Linked DNA regions of Lepisosteus oculatus. The protein of the gene in region 1 purifies or fractionates together with the protein of each later gene. This does not show direct contact. Links are inferred from orthologs where the notes say so. Each region holds a gene or a part of one and is shown in the gene's direction. Other genes may lie near its edges.

What was found.
Region 2: the proteins of slc39a4 (region 1) and mgat1b purify together in Homo sapiens (affinity purification with mass spectrometry; 3 studies listed by BioGRID and IntAct, with this or other methods). This does not show direct contact. The link is inferred for Lepisosteus oculatus from reciprocal best matches to the Homo sapiens genes SLC39A4 and MGAT1.
Region 3: the proteins of slc39a4 (region 1) and LEM domain-containing protein 2 purify together in Homo sapiens (affinity purification with mass spectrometry; 3 studies listed by BioGRID and IntAct, counting the BioPlex papers as one, with this or other methods). This does not show direct contact. The link is inferred for Lepisosteus oculatus from reciprocal best matches to the Homo sapiens genes SLC39A4 and LEMD2.

Annotation. Positions count from the first base shown.
Region 1 is NC_090705.1:33,283,312-33,291,224, reverse strand, and holds the start of slc39a4 (zinc transporter ZIP4), read left to right. Parts: upstream 1-4,671; 5' UTR 4,672-4,956; coding exon 4,957-5,169; intron 5,170-5,188; exon of another isoform or gene 5,189-5,250; intron 5,251-7,098; coding exon 7,099-7,389; intron 7,390-7,913. UniProt on the Homo sapiens protein: Selective transporter that mediates the uptake of Zn(2+). Plays an essential role for dietary zinc uptake from small intestine. The Zn(2+) uniporter activity is regulated by zinc availability.
Region 2 is NC_090709.1:41,048,540-41,056,035, reverse strand, and holds the start of mgat1b (alpha-1,3-mannosyl-glycoprotein 2-beta-N-acetylglucosaminyltransferase b), read left to right. Parts: upstream 1-4,395; 5' UTR 4,396-4,992; intron 4,993-7,496. Other genes in the region: vars2 (valine--tRNA ligase, mitochondrial), read left to right, coding at 845-1,026, 1,108-1,257, 2,710-2,787. UniProt on the Homo sapiens protein: Initiates complex N-linked carbohydrate formation. Essential for the conversion of high-mannose to hybrid and complex N-glycans.
Region 3 is NC_090700.1:40,714,762-40,721,985, forward strand, and holds the start of LEM domain-containing protein 2, read left to right. Parts: upstream 1-4,123; 5' UTR 4,124-4,129; coding exon 4,130-4,667; exon of another isoform or gene 4,668-4,902; coding exon 4,903-4,943; exon of another isoform or gene 4,944-5,413; intron 5,414-5,563; coding exon 5,564-5,675; intron 5,676-6,394; coding exon 6,395-6,471; exon of another isoform or gene 6,472-6,663; intron 6,664-7,139; coding exon 7,140-7,219; intron 7,220-7,224. Other genes in the region: mlnl (motilin-like), read left to right, coding at 823-939, 1,764-1,880, 2,428-2,530, 2,960-2,970. UniProt on the Homo sapiens protein: Nuclear lamina-associated inner nuclear membrane protein that is involved in nuclear structure organization, maintenance of nuclear envelope (NE) integrity and NE reformation after mitosis.

The DNA of each region.
Region 1 (7,913 bases):
ATTGGAATGGTCACAGTGTCAGATGCTCTGACCTAAGCTCATTTTCAAAAGGAGTCAGGAGCTACTCCAAGTGTGATATATAGTATGACAGAGAAGGAGAAGTAAAAATGTGCCTTGTGGTTGAAAAGGAAGTCTGAACAGGTATTCTGGTAGAAATCTGTTCTTTCATTACAGGAATGTGCTTCCTGTACATTTACCAAACTACATTGGTCCTAAAATCTGGTTGGAAACAGGGGACACATTTTGCTGTAATTTCACTTTAAATCTTTTCCCAGTAATATTATCCTCTAGTTAGCCATCATAAGGGGGTAGTGTAAGACTGCCTGTTATTGGTTTCCATTACAGCTACATTTAAGCTGAAAGGGATCTCAGCTCATAACTGAAAGACTGTGATTGTTACACCGTCTCTCACTCTCAGACCAAACACTAGAAGTATTTAACAACAATTGCAGTGAGGGCTGGATATTCCACATTCCTCATTCCTTGCTTTTTGGGTTGTGGTGTTAAGGCAAGGCTGCAGGTACAGAGAGCTCCTACCACAACACATACTTTAGCTAATCGTGGCGTGTATCCATAGATGCTTATAAAGATTTTATTTAGCGTGATGGAAAGGCTAAAGTTGTGTAAGACTGAATGAAGAACTGTAATCAATAGATATTGAAAATGTAAACTAAAGACGGATAAAGAAACAACTGAAAATCAAGGCAGTCTTATTCCGATCAAGACTCTACATGCTGATGTTTGATGCAAGTCTTTGCTGAAATGAGGACGGTATTAAATGCATCCACAGCACAAAGACTTGGCACTTATTTTCAAAAGTACATTGTTTCATACAGTATGCCCATTACTGTTCTCCAATGTCAGCACATTCTGTTCTCTGATATTAAGAACAGAACGCAGAAAGAAATCTATACCAGAGGCTGTGAAACTGTGTAGTTCTTATAATAAAGGTGATAAAGCAGCTTTTTCTTGCTGGATGTACAGTGAGGAGATATACCCTTTCTTGAAAATCCTGCTATACTGTTCATGAATACATATTAAAGGGAACTGTTCTTGAAAGGAATAGACCAAACATAAACTTTGAAAGGGATGTGACCAAGGAGACTTTCAGAATGGATAAGAAAGAAAATAATGTGACTTATCCGGACTCATTATAAAGACTCGGAGCACTCTCCACGTCCTTTAAAACATTTTGGTTGCCAAATGAACTCAACTAAACTCTAAAGTTTTTGCTTGTGCTTAATACTGCAATAACTCCTGCCAGTTACAATCCCCCTCTATGAATTGGCTTCATTACTCTGCTCTCCTCCCCACTGATAGCTGATGTGTGGTGTGTGGTGAGCTAGTAGTTCTGGTGCACTATGGCTGCCGTCATATCATCCAGGTGGATGCTGCACATTGGTGGTGGTGGAGGGGAGTCCCCATTACCTGTAAAGCGCTTTGAGTGGATTGTCCAGAAAAAGCGCTATATAAGTGTAATTATCTGTAGACTTTTGTAGGATATTCCTTTGAGCCAGGGACTGATACAAGTTTAGCATAACATTCCTAGATCCCTAGATCCACAGTGTGTACTATTAACTCTTATATAGCTGTATCCTAATATTTTTATACTTACAATTTCTCTAAATTGTGTTGGACATAGAACTGATGTCTCCATAAATACTGCAGTCATTTTCACAAGTTACTCTTTCATTAGAGTTTTCTATCTTATGCTTAAATGGTGCACAGATAGTAAAAATACACTGTTTTTCTGCTACTCCTCCCCTTTTGAATTTGGCAAATTGCACTAGTTTACAACCTATACCACAATCTGAATCATTGGTGTACTGTATATTAGGATGAGCAATATGAATCCCTGTAGTACTGTGCTACTTACACTCCTTATTTGTACTCTCAGAGTGGAATAAACATTTACCTGCTCCTTTTCACCCTACACATGATGACGCAGCTACCTACTCAAACGTCTTTGTCTATAATTACTTGGTTCAGTTTTGCCACCTTTTTAAATAAAATTTCCATTTTGAAACATGAAAAGAAAAAAATCTTTAGCCACTATCGGAAGTATTTTGTTAATTGCCAAGTATTTTTGTTAAACACCATTAATTTCTAGAGATTTATTTTAAATTCATCCAGTACCTGTAACACGACTTGTCTCGTCTTTGTTTTGAAAGACGATGCTCTCTGCAGTCATGTTGCCAACATTTCCAATGACCAACTCTTTTTACACATACAGTAGATACACAAAATAGCGGCCAACTGTCCGTGACGGTTTATGGAGTTTATTTAATGAAAGTTCGGGAGGGATGACAACAACCTCGCTCAATCATTCCCAGCTGTCAGTGATTAGCAATCACTCCCTTCGTCCTTCCTCCACCAAACGCTGTAAATACAGTACCAAATGCGATATCTCCCTCCCTCGCATGCAACTTTTGCATCCCACCTCCACCCCAACTCCACCTCTGCAGCGACCCCTTGGTCACCCTGCGTGGGGGTCCTGGCCTCCTCGGCCTATGGCCAGGGGGTCGGCCCTCAGCCAAGTGTGTTAAGCCAAACACTCGCTCCACAATAGTTAATTACGCTTTGATTTGGGGCGCTTTTTCATTCCTCGTGAACCAGTCATTGTATTCTTCTGTTCCAGGTGCAGGTGGATCTAGAGGACTCAATCCCCCAAAGTGAAATATTATTTCAGTTTGGTTAGATTTCAGAATATGATAGAGGAACGAAATATGTTGACCATATTTTGAGTGAAATATTATTTCAGTTAGGTTAGATTGCAGAATATGATAGAGGAACGAAATATGTTGACCATATTTTGAGTGACTCGTCTAGCTGAGGGTGTGCCAGCCCAGCCATGAGATTAAGGCTTGCCTAAACTTCCCTTGACTATTGTGAGAACTACGCTTAAGAGTTCCTGCAAGGATGCAGGTAGGGTGGTGGGAGGGGTGTGAGTGAGATTTGAGATGTGACATTTGGGATGCGCGATTTATATACACACTGCAGGCAAGTGGAAATGTGCGAAATTAGGATTTAACCTGCAGGACTTCATTTAATATAAATCTTTGTTTTTGTTTTTTTCATTTTGCTGTCAGTTTTTGAGTTAAATATTCATCTAATAAATTCACCATGCCCTTGCATCATCTAAGCATTTTCTATTCCTATCCCTCAGACACTTCATTTACTTTTCCTTTCCTGCTGTAATACTTAAAAAGTTTGTTTTAGCTCCCATTGTATTATATTCCTGCTTTTTCCTGTATTCTGGAGAATTTAAATTTTATAAATGGCTTTCTTCTTATATCTTTCTTATTTATATATTAAAGAAGCTGGACTACAGCTTTATTAGCTTTAGATTTACTCATTTATCTTGTCCAGTCCACTTGAAAACCACAATAATTCAAAGTTTTGATGTAGGCCAAGATTGGGATTTAGTACAGTTTCCAAATATATTTGAAAACACCATATGATGATCACAGTTTTCTAATGAGTCTGTCACCTGTGTGGTACTTATTTTTATCTAGAAAAGACCAGATCAATGCTGATATTTCCCCTAATAGGTGCTCTTTCATGGCTATTAACCATGTGTATTTTCAGTTTCTGACTCAAATTAAATCCCCCATGATAACAGCTTTTACTTACAAACATGCTAATGATTTAATTATATGGGTTTAATTATAATTGATATCTGAAATATGCACAAAAGTAGCTTACCCTATTAAACATTAGATCTTTGCAACATTACAATTAAACAATATTTTATGTAACTTCCAAAGCTTTTACAGGCACAGTACCCAGACTGGTTGATTCTATCGGAATTGAATTCTATTGAAATTGGAATGAAACAGTATAGGGACTGTAAATATTTACATATTGAGTAAATACACGAGTGCAATACTGCAATCATATGTGACAGCTTAGTCACGCTCTGCATATAACTAGTTGCTTGCTTTTCAAACCTTGCAATTGCTAAAACAATGATATCTTCACACTGTGGTAATTCAACAGTAAACATCTACAGTCTGGATGCTGACATCTCCTTCCCAAGACTTATTGCAAATAGAGGCAACACAAGAAAGGTACTGTACACCAGAATTTTTTTTACTGTACTGATATATATTAAAACCATCGGATGCCTATGTAAGACAATAGTAGATCATGATAAGTTATTCTGCTCAGTGCTTTCAGACTCATCTAATAGTCTCATAAATAATGGCAGAAGTTATTCTGTTCTTTATAATAACAATTCATGGCTCACACTGCAAGAAACCTTTTGACCATGCTTTTGTTTTTATTAAACATACATAAAAAATTAAAAAAGTAAATAACATTTTTATTCTCAAGAAGATGCCTTCTTTGTTTTAGAATTCTTCATTAATGAAACAACATGAATCCGTTTCAACACTAGTTCTAATTTGTCATTCCCCTTCAAGCATATACGAGAGTAACTACATCACTAATAAAATATGGGTTGTTTTGATATCAGTTCCAGTGAGAATACAGTAAGTCTGCAGAAAACAACCACAAACAAAAAGAACCTTAATCTGCTGTCCGACCAGCAATATGAATAAGCACATTGAATGGGTATTGTATTTAAAGAATGTAGCGAGGGGAGAATAGTTCACATTTTTTTTTATTTGACTAAGACTGGCTTGGAAGAGCATTAGTCATTGAAGACCGAACAAAATAGTTGTAGGGTCTCATTTCATAATCTAGGTGAAGTTTTGCAGACCTTTCAGTTTTATGGAACAGAGAAGAAGCATAAAGCTTCCTCTGAGCCAATCACATGAGAGTGAGGAAGAAAGGGAGAGAGAATACTTGTTGGAGATTAGATATACAGAAGTATAAGATTCAGTAAAGGGACAAAAACGGTCTCAGAAGGACCCAGAATTCCATCCTAAATTCATTGGAGGGCACCTTTCTTCATCACATTTGGTCTTCTTTTGCCCCAAAACCTTCATATCAATGGCTTTACTACAGGTGGTTTTCCCATTTTTTCTGTGGTTTCTTGTTTCTTTGGACATGTACAGTGGTGAGCAGTCCTCTAGAAAAGAGGTTTTTGTGAAGGTGGTGGACCTGTTGTCAACCGGAGAAGCCTACTTGAACGAGAATGCTGTTCACTCCTTTTTAAATATCTTGAAGAAACGTGTGCAATGCTCTGATGTGTCGTGTGAAAAGGTAAACTATTTTTACTCACTTCAGCTCCTTCTAGTCGGTTGCAGAGAGGTCGAGGTCCAAATCGCCAGCCAGCTTCTTTGCCTCGAAGGGTAGATAGTGCACACTTCAGAACAGATTTTTAAAGACTTCTGCTTACAATAACCTGACATTTTTATAGAAAATCCCTTGCAACCAGTCATTCCAAACAGTGAGACTTTAAGCCATCTCTTAACAGTCAGATCCTATAGCAACATCTTGAAATGTTGTGAGAAAAAAAACTGTGCTAAGCCCAAAACATGGTATATTTTTTAAATAAAACTACCGTACTTTTTTAAATATTGCCGAAGAAGCCTGAGTTTCCATTGTATTCTATAAAGAAAAGAAAACATTTTAAAAAATGAAGAAAGACTGCATATTGAAGGCTGTTGAATTTGTGAAAATGATAAAAATGGACAAAATATTCCTAATTTTTTATTAAACACTCTTCTATTACTGCTTTGGATTGATGTTGCTAAGTACTGTATGTATCCTCTGCATTGAAACATAAATGTATTTTAATTATGTATTAAACCTAAAAATGTAATTGGGGAAAAAAATCCCTCCATTTTATAGAACTTTGTATATTTTTGTTTTCCTAATTTTAAACAGGAGTATGTTATATATTATTGTGTTATACGTATTGAGACTGATGTTACATTATAAATACAGTTAGGTGAAAATTTGTGAGGACAAACTATTAGTTAAAATGTTTTCAATGTTAAAATTAACACTTAAACCACAGTCTTAATTTTCCATGAAAGGTGTGCTAGATATCTTAGATATCTACAGTAGTATCTTGTTGCAAAATGAAAAATGTGAACGTCAGAGGTTGATACCCATGATGAACTGGCATACTGCACTGGTGTACTTTCTCATACCTAATACTTCACTTTATACAAAAATGGATTACTAACCTCTTAAAACAAGATCCACTACTGTGACTTCATGTCTGACATCTTAAATGATCATGAATAATAATCAATATCATACACTCTTTCACTCATGCTCAGTTTTGCTCTCAGTGTGGTATTCATCTCCAGTTGCTCTGATCAAACACATGATCATTTTAGTTAACACACAATTTCACAATAAGATGGCTAAAGTTTTTTTTAACCTGACTTTAAAGGCATCCACAAAGAATAGCTGTAGGAAATATGTAGGAAAGAGATGATGTTTACAAACATTGAAACATGATTCAGAAAGTATGGAGACAGTAAGATTCATTGGATCAAACATCCAGATATATCCAGACTGTTCTATTTTCCTCATATTTTGTTCCCCCTGCTATTTGGGTCATTGTAGAGTTAACCAAAATCCTTTTTGGGTTTGAATAATATATAATATTGGCAGAATAATATTTAACTAAAGAATTGACTTTATAATTCCTTCCCAGCCGGACTACAAAACATTAGCTAAAAATTACCCTAGACTGGCCATGAACTCCAATGCAGGTATGAAGTATGTATTGATTTTACGTAATCAGAAAAGCATTGTTTGGACAGTCCAGGATATAGCAATTTGTCAATACTCCCACATCCAGGCAACTAATGAACATTTTATTTCTCATACTACTGAATGGCTTGACTGCTCAGTGAATGGAATACTGACAAATATGGAGGCACTTCACTTACTGTGGAGCTCAAATCATGAATATTATTACAAAAAAAACGTTTTTCATATTTAAAAATACAAAAAAATAGAAATAAGCAATTATCTTTCTTAAACATGCCTATTGGGGGTTACAATTGGAGAGCTGATATTGAATTTCATCTACTGTATAGTGATAGTAAATAACCATATGAAATGTAGTAAAGTGCTTAATGATTTGTCCAAGGTAGGAGAATAGCAACCTGAAAATAGTGATTTAATGCTATTTTTTTCCCCAATTGTTTTATTTCTGTTTGCCTCCAGTGTCTTTCTCCTGCTGATCTGGCTCAGCTTTATCCTGGCTTTTCAACAGCCAGTAGATTGGACAGTGAAGGGTTTTTCAAGGTCGCGCCTGGGTTGTGCTTCTACATGAGCGATCCAGCTGAAGCGTGTGCTGCTGTGAAGGAAAACCAGTGGCAGAGGGAAACCGAGGCGTTCGTGCAGGGCATTAAAGCTAAAGGCAACCAAGGAGATGGTTTTGACCTCAGTCCTGTTGAGTTAGATCACATGCTCCATAAAATTGAAAGGCATTGCCTTGCAATGGGCAAAGATCAGGTAAGTACAGTGCTGATTCAGTGCATTACACAGAAAACTTCCAGCTAAAGGCCTTGAACTGCCTGCAGCATTCCGCTGAGAACTACTGTATGCACGTTCTCTAGATTTGTGCGTTACCTGTACTGTATGTGTGATTTGATTTGCTTATATTGCAACAACAGGCTTATCCATACCCTGAATATTTTTAATCTGTCCTCCCTAACTACTCAGCTGTGGTTTCTCCCTCAAGCCATGTTCTGCTTATATATTTGGTTGTATAAAACATGAACGTAACAAATGAAGTAGGCATGTTGGCGGCAGGATTGAGCTCTCAAGGTACTCTCCAGATACAACAATGTGCACACAGGGGAAAAGGTTTGAAAATGTCTTTACTGAAGACCGAATGTATTTCTTTGCTGGAACCTGTATTATTTAAACACCTTGTCTAAGGTAACACATCTGAATGGCTTGTCTTTTTAATATGGATCTCGTCCAAGAGAAGGAGAAAGCCTTCTCAGAAGTATTGTTTTCACATAAATGTGACG
Region 2 (7,496 bases), on another chromosome or scaffold:
AGAGTGTGGGAGCTGTGTCAGTGTGTCACTGAGGTGACGTGACTGTGTATCCTGTTACAGTGTGGGAGCTGTGTCAGTGTGTCACTGAGGTGGCGTGACTGTGTGTCCTGTTGCAGTGTGGGAGCTGTGTCAGTGTGTCACTGAGGTGGCGTGACTGTGTGTGCTGTTGCAGTGTGGGAGCTGTGTCAGTGTGTCACTGAGGTGGCGTGACTGTGTGTGCTGTTGCAGTGTGGGTGCTGTGTCAGTGTGTCACTGAGGTGACGTGACTCTGGGTCCCGTTGCAGTGTGGGAGCTGTGTCAGTGTGTCACTGAGGTGACGTGACTGTGTGTCCTGTTTCAGTGTGGGAGCTGTGTCAGTGTGTCACTGAGGTGACATGACTGTGTGTCCTGTTGCAGCGTGGGAGCTGTGTCAGTGTGTCACTGAGGTGACGTGACTGTGTGTCCCGTTGCAGTGTGGGAGCTGTGTCAGTGTGTCACTGAGGTGACGTGACTCTGGGTCCCGTCGCAGTGTGGGAGCTGTGTCAGTGTGTCACTGAGGTGACGTGACTCTGGGTCCCGTCGCAGTGTGGGAGCTGTGTCAGTGTGTCACTGAGGTGACGTGACTCTGGGTCCCGTCGCAGTGTGGGAGCTGTGTCAGTGTGTCACTGAGGTGACGTGACTGTGTGTCCTGTTGCAGTGTGGGTGCTGTGTCAGTGTGTCACTGAGGTGACGTGACTCTGGGTCCCGTCGCAGTGTGGGAGCTGTGTCAGTGTGTCACTGAGGTGACGTGACTCTGGGTCCTGTTACAGTGTGGGTGATGTGTCAGTGTGTCACTGAGGTGACGTGACTGTGTGTCCTGTTACAGTGTGGGTGCTGTGCTCGGACCCGGGCCTGTCCGCGGTGCTGCAGGAGTTCCTCTCTCCGGCTCGGACCCTGTCGCGCGCCGGGGCGCTGCACCTCCTGCGGCCAGCGGAGGGAGCCGCCCCCCCACCCGGCTGCGCCGTGGGCGTGGTCAACGCCCACTGTCAGGTGCACCTGCGCGTCCAGGTAACAGCCTCGGCCTCGGGTGCGAGCCCTAATCCGCCTCACCCCCCCGCTGGGTGGTGACCGCGCGTCTCTGTCTCCCAGGGCAGCGTGGACGTGCTGCAGCAGAGCGTCTCCCTGTCTCGGCGGAGGGAGAAGGTGGCGGCCCGCCTGGAGGAGGCCCTGGGCCGGTCCCGGGTCCGAGGGTACGAGCAGAGGGTGCCCGAGAGAGTGAGGGAGGAGCAGGCCCGCCGGGTGAGACACCTGACGCGCGGACTGGATTCACACTGACGCCATGACTCACCGACGCAGTGAACTACACACTGGCGGGGACCGGGAACGACACAGTGACTCTCTGACCGTATTGTGGCATAGGACACGCTGCGATTAATTAACACTGTTCTTGCTCACAGGCTGAGCTCTCACACGCTGGACAGGACAGCAGTCCATCACAGGACACACACTCACACACCCTGGACAGGACACCAGTCCATCACAGGACACACACACACACACTCACACACCCTGGACAGGACAGCAGTCCATCACAGGACACACACTCACACACCCTGGACAGGACACCAGTCCATCACAGGACACACACACACACACTCACACACCCTGGACAGGACACCAGCCCATCACAGGACACACACACACACACTCACACACCCTGGACAGGACACCAGTCCATCACAGGACACACACACACACTCACACACCCTGGACAGGACACCAGTCCATCACAGGACACACACACTCACACTCACACACCCTGGACAGGACAGCAGTCCATCACAGGACACACACACACACTCACACACCCTGGACAGGACACCAGTCCATCACAGGACACACACACAGACCCTGGACAGGACACCAGTCCATCACAGGACACACACACACACACACACCCTGGACAGGACACCAGTCCATCACAGGACACACACACTCACACACACCCTGGACAGGACACCAGTCCATCACAGGACACACACACACTCACACACCCTGGACAGGACACCAGTCCATCACAGGACACACACACAGACATTCACACATGCTGGACAGGACAGCAGTCCATCACAGGACACACACACACACTCACACACCCTGGACAGGACACCAGTCCATCACAGGACACACACACACTCACACACCCTGGACAGGACACCAGTCCATCACAGGACACACACACTCACACACCCTGGACAGGACACCAGTCCATCATAGGACACACACACACTCACACACCCTGGACAGGACAGCAGTCCATCACAGGACACACACACTCACACACCCTGGACAGGACACCAGTCCATCACAGGACACACACACACACACACACACACACACACACACACACACTCACACACCCTGGACAGGACACCAGTCCATCACAGGACACACACACTCACACACCCTGGACAGGACACCAGTCCATCATAGGACACACACACTCACACACCCTGGACAGGACACCAGTCCATCACAGGACACACACACACACCCTGGACAGGGCACCAGTCCATCACAGGACACACACACACTCACACACCCTGGACAGGACACCAGTCCATCACAGGACACAGACACACACTCACACACCCTGGACAGGACACCAGTCCATCACAGGACACACTGACCCTGCTCAGCAACGGGGATGAAATGCTCCTTTTTAACCCAGCCCACGACTCTCCTCCACAGGTGTCCGCCCTGCGAGTGGAGCTGCAGAGCATCGACGACCAGCTGGCGGCGCTGCGGCGCATCCAGACAGAGACGTAAAGAAATCTTGACGAGACGGCACAGTGTTTAGCCGCAGTACCCGGGTCCGACCACCAGGCGGCGAGAGAAATTCTCCCCCCGGGCGGCTGCAATACCGCAGCAGCCCACAAGAGGGAGACAGAGACTAAGGAACGGGGGGAGCGCTTTTCACAACAAGTGACCCTTCAGATAATTGAGACTCTCGTCTCGAAGGCCGAAGGATCTCTTGCTGTTGGGTTCTGACGGCGATTTGACGTCGAGAGATATTGATCGGAAGCGGACGTCCCCTTCAAAAGAAAAGTCTGTTTGTTGTCCTCCCAGCCTCCTGTACTGGTACTTGAAAATAAAACATTCACAAACCTGTATCGATTGGGGGCGCTCCTGGGGGAGGGGTACAGATGGCGCTGCAGGAAGGGCCCCCCGTTCTGGGAGGGGCTCCGGTCGGCCCCCCCCGTTCAGACCGTCACGGGCCGGGGTTAAGACTGGGGCTGGAGAGGAAACGTGCAGAGTACCGGGGTCTGGGGGTGGGCCGCCCAGAGCTAAGCCGTTTCTCCTGGCGCAGAGCGCCCAGCTGTGGGAAAGTCCAGTGAATTAACCCCCACCCCCGCCACCCTCTGTGTACAGAAGAGCCCCCCCCCCCTGTCCTGACTGGAGGAGCTCACCCAGCTGTGTCTGGAGAGGAGCCAGGGTATCGGCTTCAACCACAGGGCTGTGCAGCTTGTTCCCCACCCCCACCACCCTCTGTGTACAGAAGAGCCTCCTGTCCTGACTGGAGGAGCTCACCCAGCTGTGTCTGGAGAGAAGCCAGGGTATCGGCTTCAACCACAGGGCTGGGCAGCTTGTTCCCCACCCCCGCCACCCTCTGTGTACAGAAGAGCCCCCCCCTGTCCTGACTGGAGGAGCTCACCCAGCTGTGTCTGGAGAGAAGCCAGGGCATCGGCTTCAACCACAGGGCTGGGGCAGCTTGTTCCCCACCCCCACCCCCCTCTGTGTACAGAAGAGCCTCCTGTCCTGACTGGAGGAGCTCACCCAGCTGTGTCTGGAGAGAAGCCAGGGTATCAGCTTCAACCACAGGGCTGGGCAGCTTGTTCCCCACCCCCACCCCCCTCTGTGTACAGAAGAGCCCCCCTGTCCTGACTGGAAGAGCTCACCCAGCTGTGTCTGGAGAGGAGCCAGGGTATCGGCTTCAACCACAGGGCTGGGCAGCTTGTTCCCCACCCCCACCCCCCTCTGTGTATAGTCGCACGTCTCTGTGATGTTCCGCTCCAGTCCTCCGGTTTGTGTTGTTGGGAACAAGCTGGCTTTGCCAGGCTGATGGCGCCGATAACGCACTTTCGTGGAGTTCGAACGCAAATAATAATAATAATTGCTGACACTTATATAGCGCTTTTCTGGACACTCCACTCAAAGCGCTTTACAGGTATTGGGGATCCCCTCCACCCCCACCAGTGTGCACCTGCAAATGCAGCCTTTTCTCCCGCTACAATGTTAAACGTGAAATTCAAATGGCGTCGCATCTAACTAACGTCATAAAATGTTTTATTTTGTAATCGATGTGAAAATCAAGCTCCTAGCCGGAGCAGCTCTGTGTGCTGCTGAGCAGGAGGAGGAGGAGGAGGGGGGGCGTGTCCCAGTCCCTGCTCCTGTCCCCGCCTCCTCTGCCATCGCCCAATCACAGCAGGCCAACTCCCCCCTCGGCGGCTCTGACGCGCCGCGCTACAGTTGCTAGGGGAGACGCTCAGGAGGCCGGGGGGTTGCTGGGAGGAAGCGCTGGGGCCGCGGGGGGGGCGGGACTTCCCGTTCCAGGCAGTCCGGAAGTGGTGTTGTGGCGGAGAGGAGGGAGTGTGTGTGTGTGTTTGCGAGCGAGGCTGGGCGGCTGTGGAGTTCTGCTCTTTTTTTTTCCCTCCCCTCTCCACCCTCCCCTCCCGCTCCGGTACTTGAGTTCGTCTCTGTGGCCTAAACCGGGAGAGGGCAAGAGACGGTCGCCCTCTGGGTGGTAAAGACGTTCCCTCCTGCCCGTCGGGTCGCCGTCGGATGTTTTTTTTCTGCCGGAGAGTCAATGGCGGATCCCCGGTAGCCGTCGGGAAGCCGGAGAGAGCGGGAGATCGGACGGGGAGCGGGAGCAGGAGGGGGGCCGGCGGCGATGGGGAGGTGCTGACACGCGGGTAGCGGACCCGGAGAGTTGGACAGCGGAGACGGCGGCCGGACAGCAGCAGTGTGTCCCAGGTGCGATCGCTCGGTTCGGTGCGGTCCCGGGCAGCACGGACACGGGTGCGGAGTGTGTGTGTGGTCACCGTGTACTGTCTTGTGCCGCTGTGTGTGATACCCGGTGTACAGACACTGTACACACTCGCCTGTCCAGACTCTTACTGGACACACTGTAGAGACACACTCGCCTGTCCAGACTCTCACTGGACACACTGTACACACTCGCCTGTCCAGACTCTTACTGGACACACTGGACACACTCGCCTGTCCAGACTCTTACTGGACACACTGTACACACTCGCCTGTCCAGACTCTTACTGGACACACTGGACACACTCGCCTGTCCAGACTCTTACTGGACACACTGTACACACTCGCCTGTCCAGACTCTTACTGGACACACTGTACACACTCGCCTGTCCAGACTCTCATTGGACACACTGTACACACTCGCCTGTCCAGACTCTTACTGGACACACTGTACACACTCGCCTGTCCAGACTCTCATTGGACACACTGGACACACTCGCCTGTCCAGACTCTTACTGGACACACTGTACACACTCGCCTGTCCACACTCTCACTGGACACACTGTAGAGACACACCCACCTGTCCAGACTCTCACTGGACACACTGTAGAGACACACCCACCTGTCCAGACTCTCACTGGACACACTGTAGAGACACACCCACCTGTCCAGACTCTCACTGGACACACTGTAGAGACACACCCACCTGTCTAGACTCTCACTGGACACACTGTAGAGACACACTCGCCTGTCCAGACTCTCACTGGACACACTCGCCTGTCCAGACTCTCACTGGACACACTCGCCTGTCCAGACTCTCACTGGACACACTGTACACACTCGCCTGTCCAGACTCTCACTGGACACACTGTCCACACTCGCCTGTCCACACTCTCACTGGACACACTGTCCACACTCGCCTGTCCACACTCTCACTGGACACACTGTCCACACTCGCCTGTCCACACTCTCACTGGACACACTGTCCACACTCTCACTGGACACACTCACCTGTCCACACTCTCACTGGACACACTGTACAGAAACACCTGTCCAGACTCTTACTTGACACACTGTACACACTCACCTGTCTGGACATATTGGAGCAGCTGTTCAGTCTGGACACCAGGTGTCTATGTACAGGTATGAGTGTAGTGTCTCTAGTGCTGTTTTGTGTTACCTCAGGCTTTGTTCTGACTCTACAATGCAAATATTGACCCGGTCACGGATCACGGCTCACTGATCGTACCACACCTGTTCTGGCACTCTGATGCACTCGAAGTCTGACACACACACACACTCTCTCCAACACACTGTTATACACACTGTCACACTATCGTCTCGCAAACACACACACCCAACACACTCTTTCGCAGTAACACGGACACACACACGCAGGGTCCCATCGGCTGTATACGCTTTTTCCCACCGGTCTCAGTTTTCTCGTTATTGTGTTCTTAAAAAGGGAACTTAGTGAAGTTCTCGTGTTCCTTTTCTCTTTACCTGTTTGGAGAGAACTGGTTTATCCTGTCTGTCCTGTCTATACAGCACAGGAGCTGGACTGAGTGTCTCTCCAGTCCTGTACAGATCTGAGGAGGAGGAGTGTGAGGGTGAAGCTGGAGGTGATCAGGCTGAGTGTCTCTCCAGTCCTGTACAGATCTGAGGAGGAGGAGGAGTGTGAGGGTGAAGCTGGAGGTGATCAGACTGAGTGTCTCTCCAGTCCTGTACAGATCTGAGGAGGAGGAGGAGTGTGAGGGTGAAGCTGGAGGTGATCAGACTGAGTGTCTCTCCAGTCCTGTACAGATCTGAGGAGGAGGAGGAGTGTGAGGGTGAAGCTGGAGGTGATCAGACTGAGTGTCTCTCCAGTCGTGTACAGATCTGAGGAGGAGGAGTGTGAGGGTGAAGCTGGAGGTGATCAGACTGAGTGTCTCTCCAGTCCTGTACAGATCTGAGGAGGAGGAGTGTGAGGGTGAAGCTGGAGGTGATCAGACTGAGTGTCTCTCCAGTCGTGTACAGATCTGAGGAGGAGGAGGAGTGTGAGGGTGAGGTTGCAGTTGAGAAGGACGGAGTTTGAGGTTTTTCTGCAGCTGTTGCCTCGGTTTCAGAGTTCTTGCGCGTCTTGAAACGCAGCGGGATGTTTCTGATCCTGGCGCGGTAGGGTTTTTTCGGTGAAACCGCAGGTGTTTCCAAGCCGTTAAAAGGAACACCTGCGTCTGCCTGACGTGCATGATGAGATGCGATACCCTGCACGAGTCGGTTTTACAGCCTGCCGAGCTGGAAAGTTTCCCTTAAAACTGCGTTTGAGCCTGTCTGTGTTCCCGCTGTTTCATGTTTTCAGCCGCCCTGCGGTCCAGACAGAGAGCTGGGTGTTCTCTGACCAGCAGGTCCCATGGAGACTCGTTTTCTTGCCCAGAAAGCTGCAGTTCCTCTGCCCTGCTGTTCCTGATCAAACCACCCCAGTGAGACTCGTGGCGCCTTATAAGGGGAGGTGG
Region 3 (7,224 bases), on another chromosome or scaffold:
AAAACGTTTATCCTTGGACTCTTTCAAACAGGAAGTCTGAAAGCAACAAGTCATCTGAAACTGGACACTATAAATACCTGAGATTCTCCTCAGCAGAGCACTGAGGACACCTCTCTGAGGAGGACAGCACACAGCACATCGCACCAGGACACTGACAGCTCAGGTGAGAACAGCGCCACACTCATGGGCATCCAGCTGTGTGCCAATCCAGCAAGGCCAAGAAGGAACTGCTGCTCCACAGCTCTCAGATCTCATCTGCACTTGAAACCTAACTCCTCATCACATTCAAGCTAAGAAATGTTTCTTGATTTTTTTCTTGCTCAATCAAACGTCTCCTGTTTTTGTTCCGTAACTTGCTTAGAAGAATTTAACAGGAGAGGGGTTTGTATTTTATTTGCAGCCATAAAATAGTTTCTTTAAATTTAGGAAAAAAGTTTCAGCCCCAGTTTTTTCTTATGTGGAGACAGCATCTCTAAAAGCTGAAACTACAGGCACAGTGCAGCCTCTCCACTATGCCCAGATTTAGGATGATGGGTTCATGTCTGTTATAAATAAATCAAGGACGTTTAACATTCCAATAGGCCAGCGGACAACAAAGGTTTAGAAATGGGGTGGCTGGTTTGGAGATTTACTGTTGCAGGGTTAGCTAATTTGTTAGTGACTGGTACAAAAGCAGCTCTTATTATTATATCACTGCTGAAAAAGTAATTATATTCCTGCTTTAAAAGCTGTCCTCTGATTCAGTTATTGCTGACAGGTCTCTTGTGTGTCACACACTTTGACTTCAGTGCCTGTGTCTCTCGCACACTGCAGGGCACCAGAATGTTGCACAGCAAGGTGATTGGCTGCCTGCTGGGGGTGTGTGTGCTGGCCATGCTGGCTAAGCAGACGGAAGGCTTCCTCAGCTTCATCAGCCCTAGTGACATGAGGAGGATGATGGTAAGGTCCGGAGTAGAGAGAGGGAGACAGACTGAGAGTCTCCCCTCTGTGCCATACAAGTTGTTGTGTTGTACTACATACAGGAAGAACTTTGTGTATGAATGAGTGTTTGTGATGCATTTATCTTTATATGCATAGGCTGGATGTGTTGGAGGCATCTATGTTAGGATAAACACAACAATGAATTTGTTTAAAAGTATTTTGACATTTACTATGTTTTTACAAACTGGAGCTGAATCACACTTCAGTATGTCCATAAAATCTAAAATGGCTCTAAAATGCTTTGGCAATACTTGTAATTTATTCCAGCCAAAAAAGGTCTTCTGAATTCAAATCGGAACTCAAGAGAGAAAAGCTAGGAAAGAAACAAATATGTAATTCACAAAAGAATGCTCAACCAGAAAACCACAGGAGATCAACTGTTTACCTTTTCTTCCATTCAGCTCCTGAGTCCCTCTTAACTCATCTGCAGGTCTTTGTGGATATGTGTATCTCAGTGCGCCTGTGGAGGCTCACCTGAGTTTCAAGTCTGGGGTCTTGAGAGTCTTCGGGTCTGAGAGAGACAAACAGACAAACCAGAGCAGCCCAGTTCAGAAACACTGCTCTGCCTCCCAGTACAAGCAGGGTTCTCACCAGCTGAATACAGCAGTCTTCCTCATCAAGGATCTGTTCCTGCAGTGCTTTTGTTACCATGAGCCCCTGCTCAATCCAGTTACCATTAACACAACTCAAGTCAAAACACTGACAGAGATGCATGAAGGAAATCTCCTGCTCACCTATTTTCCCCTTTTAACACCTGCTGTGTCACACGCCCTCCTCAACAGGAGCAGGAGAAAGTGAAGGCAGGCAAGAAATCCGTGGACTTAGAGCCGAGATCTGAGGAGAGGGAGTTCGGGAAGTTGGCCAGCACGGAGTGGAATGTCAAGGATGACGCAGTCCAGGTAGGATGAGCCCCAGTCTGGCCGTACCAGGGGTCAGGAAGCCTAGGATCTTGCAGGCCATACTAATCATGGGGGTTCTAACTCAAATAATTGATTGACACTAAGTTGTTTAATTGGCCTTTCTGCTGCAGAATGTTTACATAATTAATGTTTATTTGGAAAACATGACCCGCAATGGAATGAAGGAGGTTGCTTTGCCTACACCAGTTATATGCTGAGCAGAAAGACAGGCCATCACCGGTGAGGTAACACAGAGATGATAAGGTAACTCACTTGAAATGTGATGAAAGAGATAAGGTGCATTCCATGAAGTTCTCAGGAAAGAGATGGAGCTTGGGATTAAACGAGGTCTCTTTTTATGGAATTAACTAGATGAGAGATAATACTCTATTAATCCCGTAGGGAAATTGATGACTTGATAAACTATTCATATTAAGTCTCAGTACAGGAATCCATTCTAACACATGAAGCTTTAGTGGGGTAAAGTCAGCTGTCTACTGCTCCTCTTTGTCCACTTGCCCACGCCTCTCCCTGTCTGTGCCTGCAGGAGCCCCTGGAGATCGGGGTGCGGCTGACCCACCAGCGGCTGAACAAGCTCGCTCCTGCCCTGGGGGAGATCCTCCAGGAAATGCTGGAGGAGGGACAGCAAGGTGAGGCAAGGCAGGCTGGCATACACTGGTCTAACACAGGTCTTTCCATATGCAGCCTGCCAACAGCACAGTCTATGAAAACAGCAGAAGAACCGTTAACTGACATGCAATTACTATACTAATAAATCTGTACAGTATATCCATAACACCTAAAAGTTATATAATCGTAAAAACAACAATAATAAACAATGTTATTTTATACATTGCCTTTAAAGGTTGTATAGTACTTTAAAGTAAGAAAAAATTACAAGAGGAGTTAACAGAATTAGCACAATTAAAAATAAGGGTTTGAATGCAGTAGAAGATACAAGGGGTAGACACAGACACCAATTAAATAAAAGCTTTTCATAATACTTTGCAAATACTTTTATGACAAATTTACAAAATCACATTGCTCTACTCATCCGTCCGTGTTCTTCTGCTTTTCAGTGGCCGAGTGAGGAGACGCCCAGCAGCTCTGATTTAAAGCAACTGGAAGTCGTTCTAATATTCCTAAAGCATGTCCACAGATACACTTTACCTCTTTACCATGCTTAATAAAACTGAATTGACCATTTAAAAGATTCCTTTCTCATGTTATTCTTTATTAAAGCAATACATCATTTCTGCACTGAATAAGTGTGTGAAGGACCATCTATATGGTACGGCATACATACCAAGAAATACATACCATTTAAGAAAATGGTGTGAGCTCAGTAACCTGGATCAGCAGTCTGAAAGAGTTTACATGTGAACTTGGAAAACTGATTACTGTGGTGAGACAGGGTATAAGCAGAGTAAAGTGTATAATGTAAAGTGTCTATGAACCTGTGGTAAAGGCTCAAATTAAATCATGACAGAGTTTTTTCAAGGTATACAACGTTTACAAGAATTGTAAATAGGTAAACTAAAAAAAAAAATTAAATTCCAAATATAATTTTCTCAGACCCACCAGTACATCTGCTGAGCCTTGCAGGCTTTTATAGGTGTGTAACTCCCCACAAAGTACATCAGCATTGTACAAAGATTAGGAGAGTCATAGATGAATGCTCCAAAGCTTCCAAAACTCGGTGAAAATATTACATTGTAAATAAACAAGAAGAATAAACTTTATTCCCTTCCTGATTATTGTGACTTGGCCTGTCCAGCGTCTGGGACAGATGGCTCAAGGTAGTCAGGTGGTGGCAGGACCCCAGGCACTGCAGTCAGGGTCCAACTGCTGTCTCGACAACAGGAGAAGCTGAGTGTTAGAGGCTGTAAAACTACTGGAATACCGACTGTATCTTCTTTCTCACAGAAATTGTAATAAGTACAAGTAATACATCCACATTCATAAAACAAGAATTTAAAACAAGACATAAACCCTCAATGTGAAATCAATGTTTTTATATTATTAAAACTTTATTGATACATCAAGAATGTACACGGCTATGTTTAAAATAAAAAAAACACTGAAATGTAGTGACAAAACGAATTTACATGAGAAATGTTTTTTTAATCAGCAACTGAACAGAGGCTCCATGCCTCTGCCTCTTGCGCACGGTTGTGTCCTTTCCAACATGGCGTCCCAGAACGCCCACCTCGGTGTGTTAAAACACACTTCCGCCCAGGACACTAAACATGGCCGCCTTCTCGGACGAGCTGCTCCGTAGGGAGCTGAAGTCCTTCGGTTATAGCCCGGGTCCCATATCCGATTACACAAGGAAACTGTACCAGAAAAAACTCCAGAAGCTACAGGCCACCGTTGACTACAACCGAGTGCATCTCCTCAGAGGCCAGTCTTACATCCACTCCCGACACCGGCACAGCAGCGGCAGCCCCCGGCACCGCCAGCGGACAGCCAGCTTCCACCGGGACAGCGAAGACTCGGACGACGACGACGACGACGACGACGATGAAGATGACTACGGGAGCAGGGTTCGCGATACTCGGGAGGACAGCCGGAACCGGCGGCTGTCCGACAGCACGAACTTTTCCTTCTTCAGAAGGGTGGACGCGCAGAGGCTGTATGACGGCTCCACCCGGCGAAATCGCTTCTGCGAGCGGCAGCTGTCCCGGGTTCTGCTGGCTTGCACCGTAATCCTCAGCCTGATTCTCATCTGGCTGGTTTATATGAAGACTGTGAGTCTGGGCCAGGCCGAGAACGCCAACAGCAACAGTGAGCAAATTCGCTTTTCTTCTTTCGTTTAATGAGTTGCTCTGGATTGAGAAACCCGCCCTTCACATCCGCATGCCTTGTCCCTGTCAGAGCGCCAAGGCTTATTAGTAACCCAGCTGCCCGGACCCTCGACTGCCGCTGTCTCAGTAAATACCCGCTTCACCCGCTTTCTGTTAAAGTTACTGCCCAGTTTGCTGTTGCTGTGGAAATTAACGCCTCTCTCCCCTTTTCCCAGTTCAAGGGCTGAGCGTGGACTGCGATGGGAAGACCGACACAGTAAGGCGAAAGTTGATTTTCAGTTTCCCAAAGTGATTTAGCGGCGAACGGCCCGGTCACAACAAGAGTAACAAGAGGGCAGTGGAGATTAGAAACTGTTGGGTTGACAAGTTCCGATGCAGGCTTTAATTGGGAGGAAAGAGAGTAGCAGCCAGTGAGGCAGAGTCGATGCTTTTCTGTCAAGAGCTTTGTGGCTGTGAAGTATTTCCAGACTTTTTTTCCAAACTCATGAGTTTGATGCGAGTACTGTTCTAGTGCTGGCTATGAAAAGGCGTGCTTTGCTTGTGGAATGTCTTGCAGCTGGCTGCTGACAGTGAGCAAACTCCAGCACCGGGAGGGCAGACAGGTGTATCTCCAGGCAGGGTGAGGGGGGTGGGACAGCAGCAGGTTCCCACACTTGTGGCTCCGTCTCCCGGTACACGTCAACACTTGCTACAGAGACCCACCTCCTTCAAACAGTATAGAGGAAACTGCAACCACAGTTAAACACGGGGATAATGATAGTAATGCAGTATTGAAAACAGTTCTGATGGGTACTGGGTCTTTGAGTGGAGGACAAGCACCATAGTTTGTGTAACACCTGTCTCTCTGTCTGCCCCTCTGTCCTCCTCCTTCCCCAGTACTGCAGGGCTCAGGAGCAGAGGGTGCAGCTGCAGTTGTTGTCAGAGCTGTACAGCTTCCTGGCGAAGGTGGCAGGTGAAGTGTCGGCCAGAGGGGAGGAGGGGGCGTGGGGTGAGCGTGTCGTGTGGAACAAAGATGTTGAGCCTTTGTGTCAATATAGCCCTCCTATAATAACCTGCTCCTAACCATATGTTGCAAACCAGTGGGTCGAATGAATCAGTGCGCCACACTGCTATTGTTAAATTTATTTGAAAAATACTCTGCATGGCATTCAGTTGTAAATACACCATTTATTCATAACTGGCCAGTATTGCTTAGCACTGTGCATTAGCGAAAGAGAAATCCAGCTCCAGGTAGTCTAAAAGATCTGCATACCACATTAACCCCCGTCTCCACCAATGTACGCAGAATACACCTTGATACAGAATTTCAGAATGGCTTTCACAAAGGTTGTGGGTACTTCCTGTGTTCTCTAAGACAGCTGAATAAGCACAGAGCTTTCTAATGTGTCACAGTCTTGCAAAACTCTGGAAACATTAAATCATACAAATATCACTGAATCACTAAGAGTTATGTGCTCAAACAAATAACAGAACAGCTAAATTAACGCAGTCCTAGTTAAATGACTTAATTTATGGAGTCATTTTTAAGTGAAATCACAGATTTGTTTTATTCATGAACGAAAGATCAAGCATTTCAAAACGTTTTACTAAAATGGGTCCTTCACTTGCTAGCTGTAGTCTTGAAACCAGAAGAGATTCTTGCATGCAAAAATTGTATAAGCAATTGGGCAACATACTGTATTACTCTCTCTCTCTCTTCTTGTTTAGGTGACTTCGAATGTGGGAACCCATCCAAACTGACGAATGCATGTGTTCCCATCGAAGACGTGAGGACTTACTTGGTGGTGAGCCTTTCCTCCCTGTGATGCTGGTTACACACTCGGAGACTGGAACACTGAACGTGGTGCCCTCGTGTCTGAGGAACTGGGCTCTGCAGCAGTGTGCCCACTTCCTCTCACTGCAGCTCAGCTCTGTCTCTTTAATGACCCGATAACTTCATTCATTTGAATTCTTTGTTTTTTTCTACCTGCTAAGATCTTAAAAAATGGAAAGTTGAGCATGAAAGTGTGAAATAAACTGAAAACGATGAACAGTTCTGAATTATGAAAACAGGTGAGGATTTCCATGCAGCAAACTGAGGGGCTGCTGCAGAGTTTCCATGGGAGCTGCCTGTTTATCCCTCACACTCCACTCTGACCCTGTTGATCTTAAAACATGTCACGACCAGCAAGGGTCTGTGCCCCCAGCATTGATACTTTTGACAGTCTGCAGACTTAAGCTTAAATTTTCCAAGGTATCACTTCTCAAACTGCTGAATCTAGGGAATTGAGACTTTTAAAATGCAGCTGTATGGCAGGATTGTCATAGGACAGGAGCTGTGTAGATCAGTTCAACATGCACTTAAGAGATCTGTGTTCACCTGCTCTGACTGCAGTGGACGTGTCCTGTCTTTATTTCTCTGTAATTAAGTTATCTGCCCATGCCAGGAACTGAACTGAAATCTCTTCAGCAGATTTTAAACAAAGACTATGCAAGCAAGCTGGAGGCAGCGCTGGAATGGATTCTCCAGAGTGAGACAGACCTGGGAATTCAGTAAG